Saccharomyces cerevisiae S288C: one gene and its partners. Changing the gene in region 2 together with the main gene of any one other region gives a genetic interaction. Each region holds a gene or a part of one and is shown on either strand. Other genes may lie near its edges.

Region 1 (3,757 bases), on a different chromosome or scaffold from region 2:
ATCAACTTTATTAATTTCAATCAAACCGGAACGTGTATTTCCCTTGGAACGTCGAAAGGTTTCAAAATATTCAATTGTGAGCCCTTCGGAAAATTTTATTCAGAGGACAGTGGGGGCTATGCTATCGTCGAGATGTTGTTCTCCACCTCGTTACTAGCCCTCGTTGGGATAGGCGATCAACCTGCGCTTTCACCAAGGAGATTGCGTATAATCAACACAAAAAAACATTCTATTATCTGTGAGGTGACTTTCCCTACTTCTATTCTGAGTGTGAAAATGAATAAGTCTCGATTGGTGGTACTTTTACAAGAGCAGATTTATATTTATGATATCAACACCATGAGACTATTGCATACTATAGAAACAAACCCTAACCCACGTGGCCTTATGGCTATGTCTCCTTCGGTAGCCAACAGCTATTTAGTGTATCCATCACCACCAAAAGTTATTAACTCCGAAATTAAAGCTCATGCCACCACAAACAATATCACATTGTCAGTTGGTGGCAACACAGAGACCAGTTTCAAGAGAGATCAGCAAGATGCTGGCCATAGTGACATTAGCGACTTGGATCAGTATTCGAGCTTTACTAAGAGGGATGATGCGGATCCAACAAGCAGTAACGGCGGTAACAGCAGTATAATAAAGAATGGTGATGTGATCGTATTCAACTTGGAAACATTACAGCCAACCATGGTCATCGAAGCTCATAAGGGCGAGATTGCTGCAATGGCAATTAGTTTTGATGGGACACTAATGGCTACCGCCTCTGATAAAGGTACTATCATCAGGGTCTTTGACATTGAAACGGGTGATAAGATCTACCAATTCAGGAGAGGGACGTACGCGACAAGAATTTACTCCATATCATTCAGTGAAGATAGCCAGTACTTGGCGGTTACCGGCTCTTCCAAAACCGTGCATATCTTCAAATTGGGGCATTCAATGAGCAACAATAAACTAGACAGCGATGATAGCAACATGGAAGAAGCTGCAGCCGATGATTCATCGCTCGATACCACCAGTATCGATGCGCTGAGTGACGAGGAAAACCCGACAAGACTCGCAAGAGAACCATATGTGGATGCATCAAGAAAGACAATGGGTAGGATGATACGTTACTCTTCTCAAAAGCTATCCCGAAGAGCTGCCAGAACATTGGGTCAGATTTTCCCCATCAAAGTTACATCGTTGTTGGAATCCTCGCGCCATTTTGCGTCTTTGAAACTTCCCGTTGAAACCAATTCCCATGTAATGACCATATCAAGTATAGGCTCTCCAATAGATATAGACACATCCGAGTATCCGGAACTCTTCGAAACTGGCAATTCCGCAAGTACAGAGTCCTACCATGAGCCTGTTATGAAGATGGTCCCCATCAGGGTCGTTTCCTCGGATGGATACCTATACAACTTTGTTATGGACCCGGAGAGAGGCGGCGATTGCTTAATATTGTCACAGTATTCCATCTTGATGGATTGATCACGGAAGTGTCTCGCGCTGCCTTCCGTACGTCACAACGCATACACAATATAGTTTATATAAACTCCTGCGTATAATCTATCCTTTTGCATAATATTTTCGTCACCATTATCTTGTTGCGGTGTTTTTATTTAAAACAATAGAACTCGCCTAAAGGGGAAATTTTCGATATAAAAATTCAAAAAAATGGCTTTCATGGATCGAGTATTTGTTTGTCGAAAAAGGATCACTGGAGTGACGTTACTACGCTACGAAGCCTCCTTCCGGCTTAGCCCTGTTGATTACGAATTTGGATCAGTTGGTATTTGATTCCTCGGAAGAGTTAACTTCACGCGGGTAAATCACTTGTGATGCGGTATATTCTCTATACGGCTAATAGATGAATCAGGGTGTTTTAAAGTGCGTATAAACCCTTTTGCTATTTTCGTTTATATAATTGGCGTTGATAAAGAGCCAATATCTATTGTTGCTACATAGAGGCAGCTCTCTTAGCAAAATAAAAATACAAAAAGTTCGACATGGGCTTCAGTAGCGGTAAATCAACTAAGAAAAAGCCTCTGCTTTTCGATATCAGACTTAAAAATGTTGACAACGATGTAATACTCCTCAAAGGTCCTCCAAACGAGGCCCCCTCGGTGCTTTTATCTGGTTGCATCGTTTTATCGATTAACGAACCCATGCAGATCAAAAGCATATCATTGAGACTTTATGGGAAGATACAAATAGACGTACCATTAGAGAGGCCCCAGGACGCTAGTTCTTCGTCGTTGTCTTCATCGCCGCCAAAGATCAGAAAGTACAACAAAGTTTTTTATAATTACGCATGGGATAATGTTAACCTCAAGGAGTATCTGAGTGGTTTAAGAGGGCAATCTGGCCTTGCGGGCAGTAGCTCATCAAGTAATATCTTGGGCACTCGCCAAAGAGCTCAGTCCACAAGTTCCTTGAAGTCTTTAAAGGGGTCCTCCTCACCCTCTTCATGTACTTTAGATAAGGGCAACTACGATTTTCCCTTTAGTGCTATTTTGCCTGGTTCGTTACCAGAGAGCGTAGAATCTTTGCCAAATTGCTTCGTGACATATAGCATGGAATCCGTTATTGAACGCAGCAAAAATTATAGTGATTTGATCTGTAGGAAAAATATTAGAGTTCTGAGAACCATTTCACCCGCAGCAGTGGAGTTATCAGAAACTGTTTGTGTAGATAACTCATGGCCCGACAAAGTGGATTATTCTATTTCAGTACCCAACAAAGCCGTAGCTATTGGTTCAGCCACCCCTATAAATATTTCCATTGTACCTCTTTCGAAAGGTTTGAAATTGGGCTCAATCAAAGTCGTATTATTTGAGAATTATCAATATTGTGACCCCTTCCCTCCAGTAATTTCTGAAAATAGGCAAGTGACAGAACTAAATCTTGAAGATCCCTTGAACGAGTCATCTGGAGAATTTAATGGTAATGGTTGCTTTGTAAATAACCCCTTTTTTCAGCCTGATCATTCATTCCAAGACAAGTGGGAGATTGATACCATCCTGCAAATCCCGAACAGCTTATCAAACTGTGTGCAAGATTGTGATGTCCGCTCTAACATTAAGGTTCGCCATAAGCTCAAATTTTTCATCATCCTAATTAACCCAGATGGTCATAAATCTGAGTTAAGAGCGTCCTTACCGATTCAACTTTTTATTTCACCATTTGTGGCACTTTCAATAAAACCATTGTCATCCTCGAATTTGTATTCGCTTTTTAGCACCACTAACCAGAAAGACGAAAACTCATCACAAGAAGAGGAAGAGGAATATCTGTTTTCTAGATCAGCATCAGTCACAGGGTTGGAATTATTAGCGGATATGCGTAGCGGTGGCTCTGTTCCTACCATTTCAGACTTGATGACGCCCCCAAATTATGAAATGCACGTATATGATCGTCTTTATAGCGGTTCTTTCACTCGCACGGCTGTGGAAACGTCTGGAACATGTACTCCTTTGGGAAGCGAATGTTCGACTGTCGAGGATCAGCAACAGGATTTAGAAGATTTACGTATACGGTTGACAAAAATTAGAAATCAACGTGACAATCTAGGGCTACCACCGTCTGCCTCGTCTGCTGCCGCTTCCAGATCGCTATCTCCATTACTAAACGTTCCAGCACCAGAGGATGGCACGGAGAGAATCTTACCTCAGAGTGCTCTTGGTCCCAATAGTGGCTCTGTGCCAGGAGTACATAGTAACGTATCACCTGTTTTACTTTCAAGATCCCCAGCCCCAAGCGTGTC
Region 2 (3,757 bases):
ATATATATATATATATATCACACATCAATCAACGCGCATGGACATTTGAATCAATGGGGCAGGAAAGGCGATGCAGTGGCCAAATTTCTTTGTTCATTTGTGGCGTTGGGTCAATGAGTCAAAAAATGAAAAAAGTCGACAGACGTTTTTCAAAAAGCTTCAAGAAAAGAAGAGAAAAAGTAAAAGCGTATTGGTAAAAAGAGTAAGAACAAAAAGGAGCACAGGCAACCAATATAAAGATGTCCAGTTCACAACAAATAGCCAAAAATGCCCGTAAAGCAGGGAATATTTTGAAAACCATCTCAAACGAGGGCAGATCAGATATTTTATACAAAATTCACGATGCCCTGAAGGCTAATGCGCATGCCATTGAAGAAGCGAATAAAATCGATTTAGCTGTTGCCAAAGAGACTGGCCTAGCGGATTCTTTATTGAAACGTCTCGACCTATTTAAAGGGGACAAATTTGAAGTTATGTTACAAGGTATTAAGGATGTAGCCGAACTAGAAGACCCTGTTGGCAAGGTTAAAATGGCCAGGGAATTAGATGATGGCTTGACGTTGTACCAAGTAACCGCTCCAGTCGGCGTTTTGTTAGTTATCTTTGAATCCCGTCCAGAAGTTATTGCCAATATTACCGCATTGAGTATCAAGTCTGGTAATGCTGCAATTTTGAAGGGTGGTAAAGAGTCTGTGAACACGTTCAGAGAAATGGCAAAGATCGTTAACGACACCATTGCACAATTCCAAAGTGAGACTGGTGTTCCTGTGGGCTCTGTGCAATTGATCGAAACCAGACAGGATGTTTCCGACTTGTTGGATCAAGATGAGTACATCGACTTAGTTGTTCCTCGTGGTTCCAATGCCTTAGTCAGAAAAATCAAGGACACTACAAAAATTCCCGTGTTGGGTCATGCGGATGGTATCTGCTCAATTTACTTGGATGAAGACGCAGATTTGATTAAGGCAAAAAGAATTAGTTTGGATGCAAAGACTAACTACCCAGCTGGTTGCAACGCTATGGAAACGTTGTTGATTAACCCAAAATTCTCTAAGTGGTGGGAAGTTCTGGAAAACTTAACTTTGGAAGGCGGAGTGACTATCCACGCTACAAAAGATTTGAAAACTGCGTATTTTGATAAACTGAATGAGTTAGGGAAATTGACAGAAGCAATTCAATGCAAAACCGTTGATGCTGATGAGGAGCAAGATTTTGATAAGGAATTTTTATCCTTGGATTTGGCTGCCAAGTTTGTTACATCTACAGAATCGGCCATTCAACATATAAATACACACTCTTCGAGACATACCGACGCTATTGTAACGGAAAATAAAGCAAACGCTGAAAAATTTATGAAGGGTGTCGACTCCTCTGGTGTTTACTGGAATGCATCAACTAGATTTGCCGATGGTTTCAGGTACGGTTTTGGTGCTGAAGTGGGTATTTCTACCTCTAAGATTCACGCCCGTGGTCCAGTTGGCTTGGACGGTCTGGTGAGTTATCAATACCAAATAAGAGGTGACGGCCAGGTTGCTAGTGACTACCTTGGTGCTGGTGGTAACAAAGCTTTTGTTCACAAGGATTTAGATATAAAGACTGTGACATTATAAAAATTTTTAGGATAAAGCTAAGTTCCATGTATGAAGGACGTGTATACATAGTTCAGTAAAGCCATCAAATAAGTACTCTTGTCAACTCATTCTATGGTGTGATAGTTAATTGCTTACTTGTATCGCTATTAACGACTTTTTTTTTCTTTTGGCGGAAGCTTCAAGACAAAAATGCGATTTGAGCTGACTCGAACACTTATTAAACCAGACGGAAAAGCACGACTCATACATATCATAGGCAGTTTTTACTAGGGCTCCGAATACTTTGAATAATAAGGTTGATTAAGTTTGTGTGCTTCATCCAATTAGCTTTCAGTTTTCCTTATTTAAGCTTCTGATTTCGGAATCAAAAGTTGAGCAACGTTATAGCTTGCTTTTTCGGAGGAGAACGCTGTTGTTCACATTTCAACACCAGAAATTGCTGATTTTTACTCCTACTTAGTATACATTTCACTAAACAATACGTTTTACCATGGCATTTTCACGTCTTACATCTACTCATCAGTCCAATCATAACGGCTACAGTAATAGCAACAAAAAAGGACAAAGTCTTCCACTAACCCTTTCTATTGATGTAGAATCACCGCCATGTGTTCTTTATGGGTCTGCTATGGAATCCTCAGGTGCTGTGCTAAGTGGACTTTTTACTGTGACGGTTGTCGATCCCTACAGTAGTGCTGAAGATAAATCTTTAAAGAATACAGAATCTAATGTGTCGACTACTTCTAAAAGCCTAAAAAGAAAGAGTACATTTGGTTCTGCACTTTCATCTAGATTGTCCAGCTTGTCAGCGTCGACGTCAAATATCTCTCCTTCAACATCTTCTACATCCATATCGCATTCTCCCACGCCTGCTAATTTAAGAATAATGGCTGGTTATACCAAGATCACCATTACGTCGGTAACACTAAGTTTGGTACAGAAGATCCATTTCCATAAACCCTTTGTGCCTAATATTTCCTCAATGCAAACCTGTATGAACTGTAAAACAAAGATTACAAACATGAAAAGCTGGGAAATTCAGAGTAATACCCAGGATCTTTCTGTTGGAAGCCACTCTTACCCATTTTCCTATCTTATACCGGGGTCTGTCCCATGTTCTTCATCGCTAGGTGCTACGGCTGAAACCCAGGTCAAATACGAACTTATCGCTGTTGTGACGTATATAGATCCTCATAGAAATTCCTTTTCTTCCGGTCATTCTACTCCCAGGAAAGAAGGAAGCTCTTCTAAGAAGCGGTTGTTGCAACTAGCGATGCCCATCGCCGTGACTCGAAGTATACCGCGCGGGCCTGATAAGAATTCTCTAAGAGTATTTCCTCCTACAGAGTTAACTGCTGCTGCTGTTCTTCCTAATGTTGTATATCCTAAATCTACTTTTCCTTTGGAGATGAAATTAGACGGTGTTTCTTCGGGGGATAGGAGATGGCGAATGCGTAAATTGAGTTGGAGAATTGAAGAAACTACAAGAGTTAAAGCACATGCTTGTCCAGTGCACAAGCATGAATTGAGGCAGTTAGAAGAGCAGGTTAAAATAAAAGAGTCAGAAAAAAGTAAAAAGCCACGCAGTCATATTAAGCGTTATGGTGAACTAGGCCCACAAATCCGGGTTGCAGTAAACTCTTTAGAAAATATGCCGTCGCAAAGGCTTCCAGGCGAGCCCGGTCGTGAACAAGCACCTAATTCTTCGGGTCCAGCGTCAACTGGTAATGTTGGACTTGATGATGAAAATCCTGTTAATGAAGATGAGGAAGACCAACCCGGTAGCGAATTCATCCATCCCAGTGACGACGCTTTGCGTCAGGAGTTACTAATGCAGCAACAACGCGCAAGACAACAACAACTTCAACAAGAGCTAAAAAACAACAGTAGTTTATTTACGGAAGAGGTTCGGATAATATCTAAGGGAGAAATGAAGAGTGGATGGAAAACCGATTTTGACAATAATGGAAAGATTGAGCTAGTTACAGAAATAGATTGTATGGGACTTAATTCAGGCGTCTCTAATCCGGTAATGCATGCATCGACACTACAAACTCCTTCCACGGGCAATAAGAAGCCCAGCATCAATGTGGCTTGCGATATACAGGATCCAAATTTAGGTTTGTATGTAAGCCACATCTTGGCAGTGGAAATAGTTGTTGCAG
Region 3 (3,757 bases), on a different chromosome or scaffold from region 2:
ACTGCTACAGAACCGAAGCAAAAAGCTAATGCTGTGCAAAATAACAATGGTAACTCTGCAGCTTCAAAAAAGAAAAAAAATAAAAACAAGGGCAAAAAAAAGCGTTAAATATTTCATGTATACTAGGAGATTGAATATGAAATAAAATACTATATATATATATTTAGATATAAACCCATCTAAACTATCGAATTGAAGAAAAAAAAGCTAGTAGGAATGTATATATTGTGTATGCGTAAATTGTAAAAAAAACCAAATTCATAATGTCTCTTATTTTCTCGATCTGTTCTTCTTTTTAGAAGATTTGCCTCTGTTTCTTTGACGTTTTTTAGTAGATTTATTTCTAGGGTTCTTATTGATAGCTCCATCTGATACTTCACGGGGGGTATTTGAATTTTCCGGTCTTTTATTGCCATCATCTTCCAATAATGGCGAATTTTCATTGCAACCAGCGTTCTCATCGTTGTTATTAACATTGTTATCGGTGTTGTTATCGTCGGTTTCAAGACTGTCGTGGTAAACATTATTTTCTCTGTCAAAGTTAGAAGAGATTCTTTCATACGTCCCAACAGACCACAGGGGCTTACTAGTTTGCGCCGTTATCCTAGAGGATGACCCTTCTTTTACCTTCATACTACCAAAGAAATTATCAGTGTCAGCATATCTTGGTGGCAATTCTTCTCCTTTCTGTAAAATAGTATCCTTCTTGATCTCGGTTCCATTATACGCAGGAGGAATTCCAATTTGGCCATAAACACTCCCAAACGCATATTTTTTCACATTGGCTTCTATAAAGACGAACCCAACTTGGCCCAAATTAACATGTAATTCAACCTCATCTGACGTCATTTCATCACTTTCATCATGTGGATCGTGAACTCTTTGAAGATCTTTGGCGACTTCAATATCTTTGCCTTCAGAGAGAGCTTCACGGAAGCTAACATTATCCGGGTCTTCCAATAGACCATCCCTCGTATATGTTCTTGTATATGCGGCATTAAACGCGCCAATTCCAATGAAAAGATCAATGCCAATATTTTGTGTTACATCCATTAATTTTTTCCCATTATGTGTAATGAAGATTGTACCTGTTTTATATCTGTAACCGAATCCTACCGTGTCACCTTCTTCCAATTTTGGTAATAATGTGCTGGCAGTGAAGGGGTTATTTATCCTCAGTTTACCTGTGGATTCGTATGCAATGGAGTATTTGGCCATGCCCGGTACCCTGAAATAAGGATATGGTACAGTAGTCAAACCTATACTGAATATACTATTGGACTTTTGAATATGTCTGAAAATTTTAACTTCGAAATACACTGCGTCCTTCCTATTGTGAGGTAGGGGATAGTTCATTACAGTGGATGAGCTCTTATTGAACTTTGAAAATTGAATATCTAGTTTATCCTGGACAATAAAACTGGGTAGAAAGTTTCCATATTCGTCTATATTATCATTAATGCTTGGTAGCAAAAAATAGCTTTGAATGCCACGATCCTTAATAAACTGCTGGTCGTCACTGTCCAAATACGTGCCAAAGTCCTTCACCATTGGCGGGCTCATCATTTGAAACTCTTTCGCTCTTATATACAACTCAACCTCGTACGCTGACATCTTTGGTAATTCTTCAAGTTCTCTTTCCTGAAGAACGATCTCATCATCAAACCCGCCAGGGGATGCAAAACTCGAATCCAACAAGATGCCACTATGTTTTTTACCAAACAAAGAGTGCAGAGTTCCTGAAGTTCGTGTACCTAAGGCGTTCTCTTCGTCGTATTCTGATTCATCATCACCACAAAAGGTGACATATGCCGCTATTACTACCAAGATGAGCATTAATATTGCAAACGTAATAGAAAGACTTATTAAGAAAGCCAAACTAATTGCTGCAGAATCTGAATCCATAGGGGGAGTTGGTACCATGTTAGGGTCACCTACTTTGAAGTCATGATTCGGACTCTCTAGATTACCAAAAGAACTATCCAAAGCCTCATTAAAAGTGACATACATTGCTCTTGTATACCTTCAAGTTTTTTTCTTCTTCCTAGTTACAAATAAAATAGATGAAAAAAGAGCTATTACTGCTTGTTCTGTTTATTTCGATTAATAATACCCACTATTGACTTTACTGAATATAAATATGTGCCAAGTAATCTAAGTACAAGCTGTTCGGATAGCTGAGATTTTGACTCAGGAACCCCTCCCCACAGAAACTCTTTAATAAGTAGACCTGCGAATGTAAAGCGCGCACGTAGTAAGTGACGAGAACAAACAAGCGTTCTAAAATGCAAAATATCGTGAAGAGTACACTGTGGAAAATAAAAATACTAAGTTTCTATAGTATCTAGAAATCTAAAAAATGTGTTAAATGCATTTATGCTATATATCCTCATTTCAACTATTAATGGGGTGACTACAGTGTATCATTAGTTTGTGACGGGCATGTCTCGAAGATACCTATGAAAAAAGACCTTAGTCATCCGACCCATCACTTTCATATTCCCCGCTTGCTTCACTCCACTCTATGTAGTATTCCTTCATTAAAATTTTATAGTTTTTCAGAAACAAAGGATCATATGGGAAGTAACTCTGTAAGTCAATAAATTGTTGTCGAGTGGCTAAAGACCAAGAAGACGATGTGGTATTTGCTTGTGCGGAATTTTCCTTCTTGTCGCTATCAGCTTTGCCGATGATTCCCCTCAATCTTTCATTGTTGTTATTTTCAATTATGCTGAAACAGTACGCGACGCTTTCTTGTTGGGCAATACGAGCAAACATCAACATGACATTTTCATTACAAAACTTTAATGGGTTAAATTTTGAAATGACCATTCTTTGAAAGAATTTGTCCAGTTCACACTCCCAGTTACCATCTGTATCTCTGAAGATGTTATGTCTGAAACAGAAAATGTAACAAAGTGCTTGAAATGCTGCATAGAAATGTTTAAACCTTTCCATACCTCCACGTTGATCAACTTCTTCTTCTCTTTCGATAACGTATCTATTCAACCAGGACGTTAAATAGCTTGCAACGAAAATAATTTGAGTTCTGGATAGTTTCTTGGCCCTCGCAATGTACGACCCCAAATATTGTAATGACTTAATTTTCTTCTCTGCTGCTTCGTTGACGGCAAACGAAATATCTATCAGTGTCACTAAAAATGAATCCATTAGTTCTAATTGTTGTTGTGAAACATGGAACATGATATATTGAATCGACCTGGTATAGTACGTGGGTAGAACATGCGTTTTAAATAATGTTGTTAGAGTGTTGAAGACTCCTACGCCTTCACCGCTTTCTAAACTCTCCGGCGTCACTTGCTCTTCCACATGCGTGCTTACCAAAGTTAAGATAGAGTCCAATTTGGTGGAAAGTTCTTTGATTCCCTGCGTCAACTCCACATTATATTCTTCAGTACCGTCCATACCTTCAATGATGTCCATATCTTCACTATCACTTTGACTACCGTCGGCTGCTCCAGACCTTAACTCTTCATTACTGTTCCCACAATTTTCATCATCATCGTCTCCTGAATCATCATCTAAATCGTCGTCATCCTCTAGATCAACTTCCTCTAGATCATCGTCATCTACATCATCATCTAATTCATCTAATTCATTTTGTAACTCGACATCAATCGAAATAATCTTTTCTATCAGTAAGGACCAAATTTGGAATCCTAGCTCAGAGCAGTAGCCTCTCAATTTCAGCAAATTTGAAGTGTAATTAACCAACTTTCTCCGAGTATCATTTTTA

The links.
Region 1: mutations in LDB19 (region 2) and ROG3 impair growth when combined (synthetic growth defect), as found in Saccharomyces cerevisiae (one study listed by BioGRID).
Region 3: mutations in LDB19 (region 2) and SSH4 impair growth when combined (synthetic growth defect), as found in Saccharomyces cerevisiae (2 studies listed by BioGRID, with this or other methods).

Annotation. Positions count from the first base shown.
Region 1 is NC_001138.5:194,833-198,589, forward strand, and holds the start of ROG3 (Rog3p), read left to right. Parts: upstream 1-2,000; coding exon 2,001-3,757. Other genes in the region: phosphoinositide binding protein ATG18, read left to right, coding at 1-1,482. UniProt on the Saccharomyces cerevisiae protein: Involved in resistance to GST substrate o-dinitrobenzene (o-DNB).
Region 2 is NC_001147.6:919,388-923,144, reverse strand, and holds the start of LDB19 (Ldb19p), read left to right. Parts: upstream 1-2,082; coding exon 2,083-3,757. Other genes in the region: PRO2 (glutamate-5-semialdehyde dehydrogenase), read left to right, coding at 240-1,610. UniProt on the Saccharomyces cerevisiae protein: May be involved in protein-linked oligosaccharide phosphorylation since the deletion reduces the negative charge of the cell surface.
Region 3 is NC_001143.9:208,846-212,602, reverse strand, and holds SSH4 (Ssh4p), read right to left. Parts: upstream 2,011-3,757; coding exon 271-2,010; downstream 1-270. Other genes in the region: signal recognition particle subunit SRP21, read left to right, coding at 1-108; RRN3 (rDNA-binding RNA polymerase I transcriptional factor), read right to left, coding at 2,473-3,757. UniProt on the Saccharomyces cerevisiae protein: Components of the endosome-vacuole trafficking pathway that regulates nutrient transport. May be involved in processes which determine whether plasma membrane proteins are degraded or routed to the plasma membrane.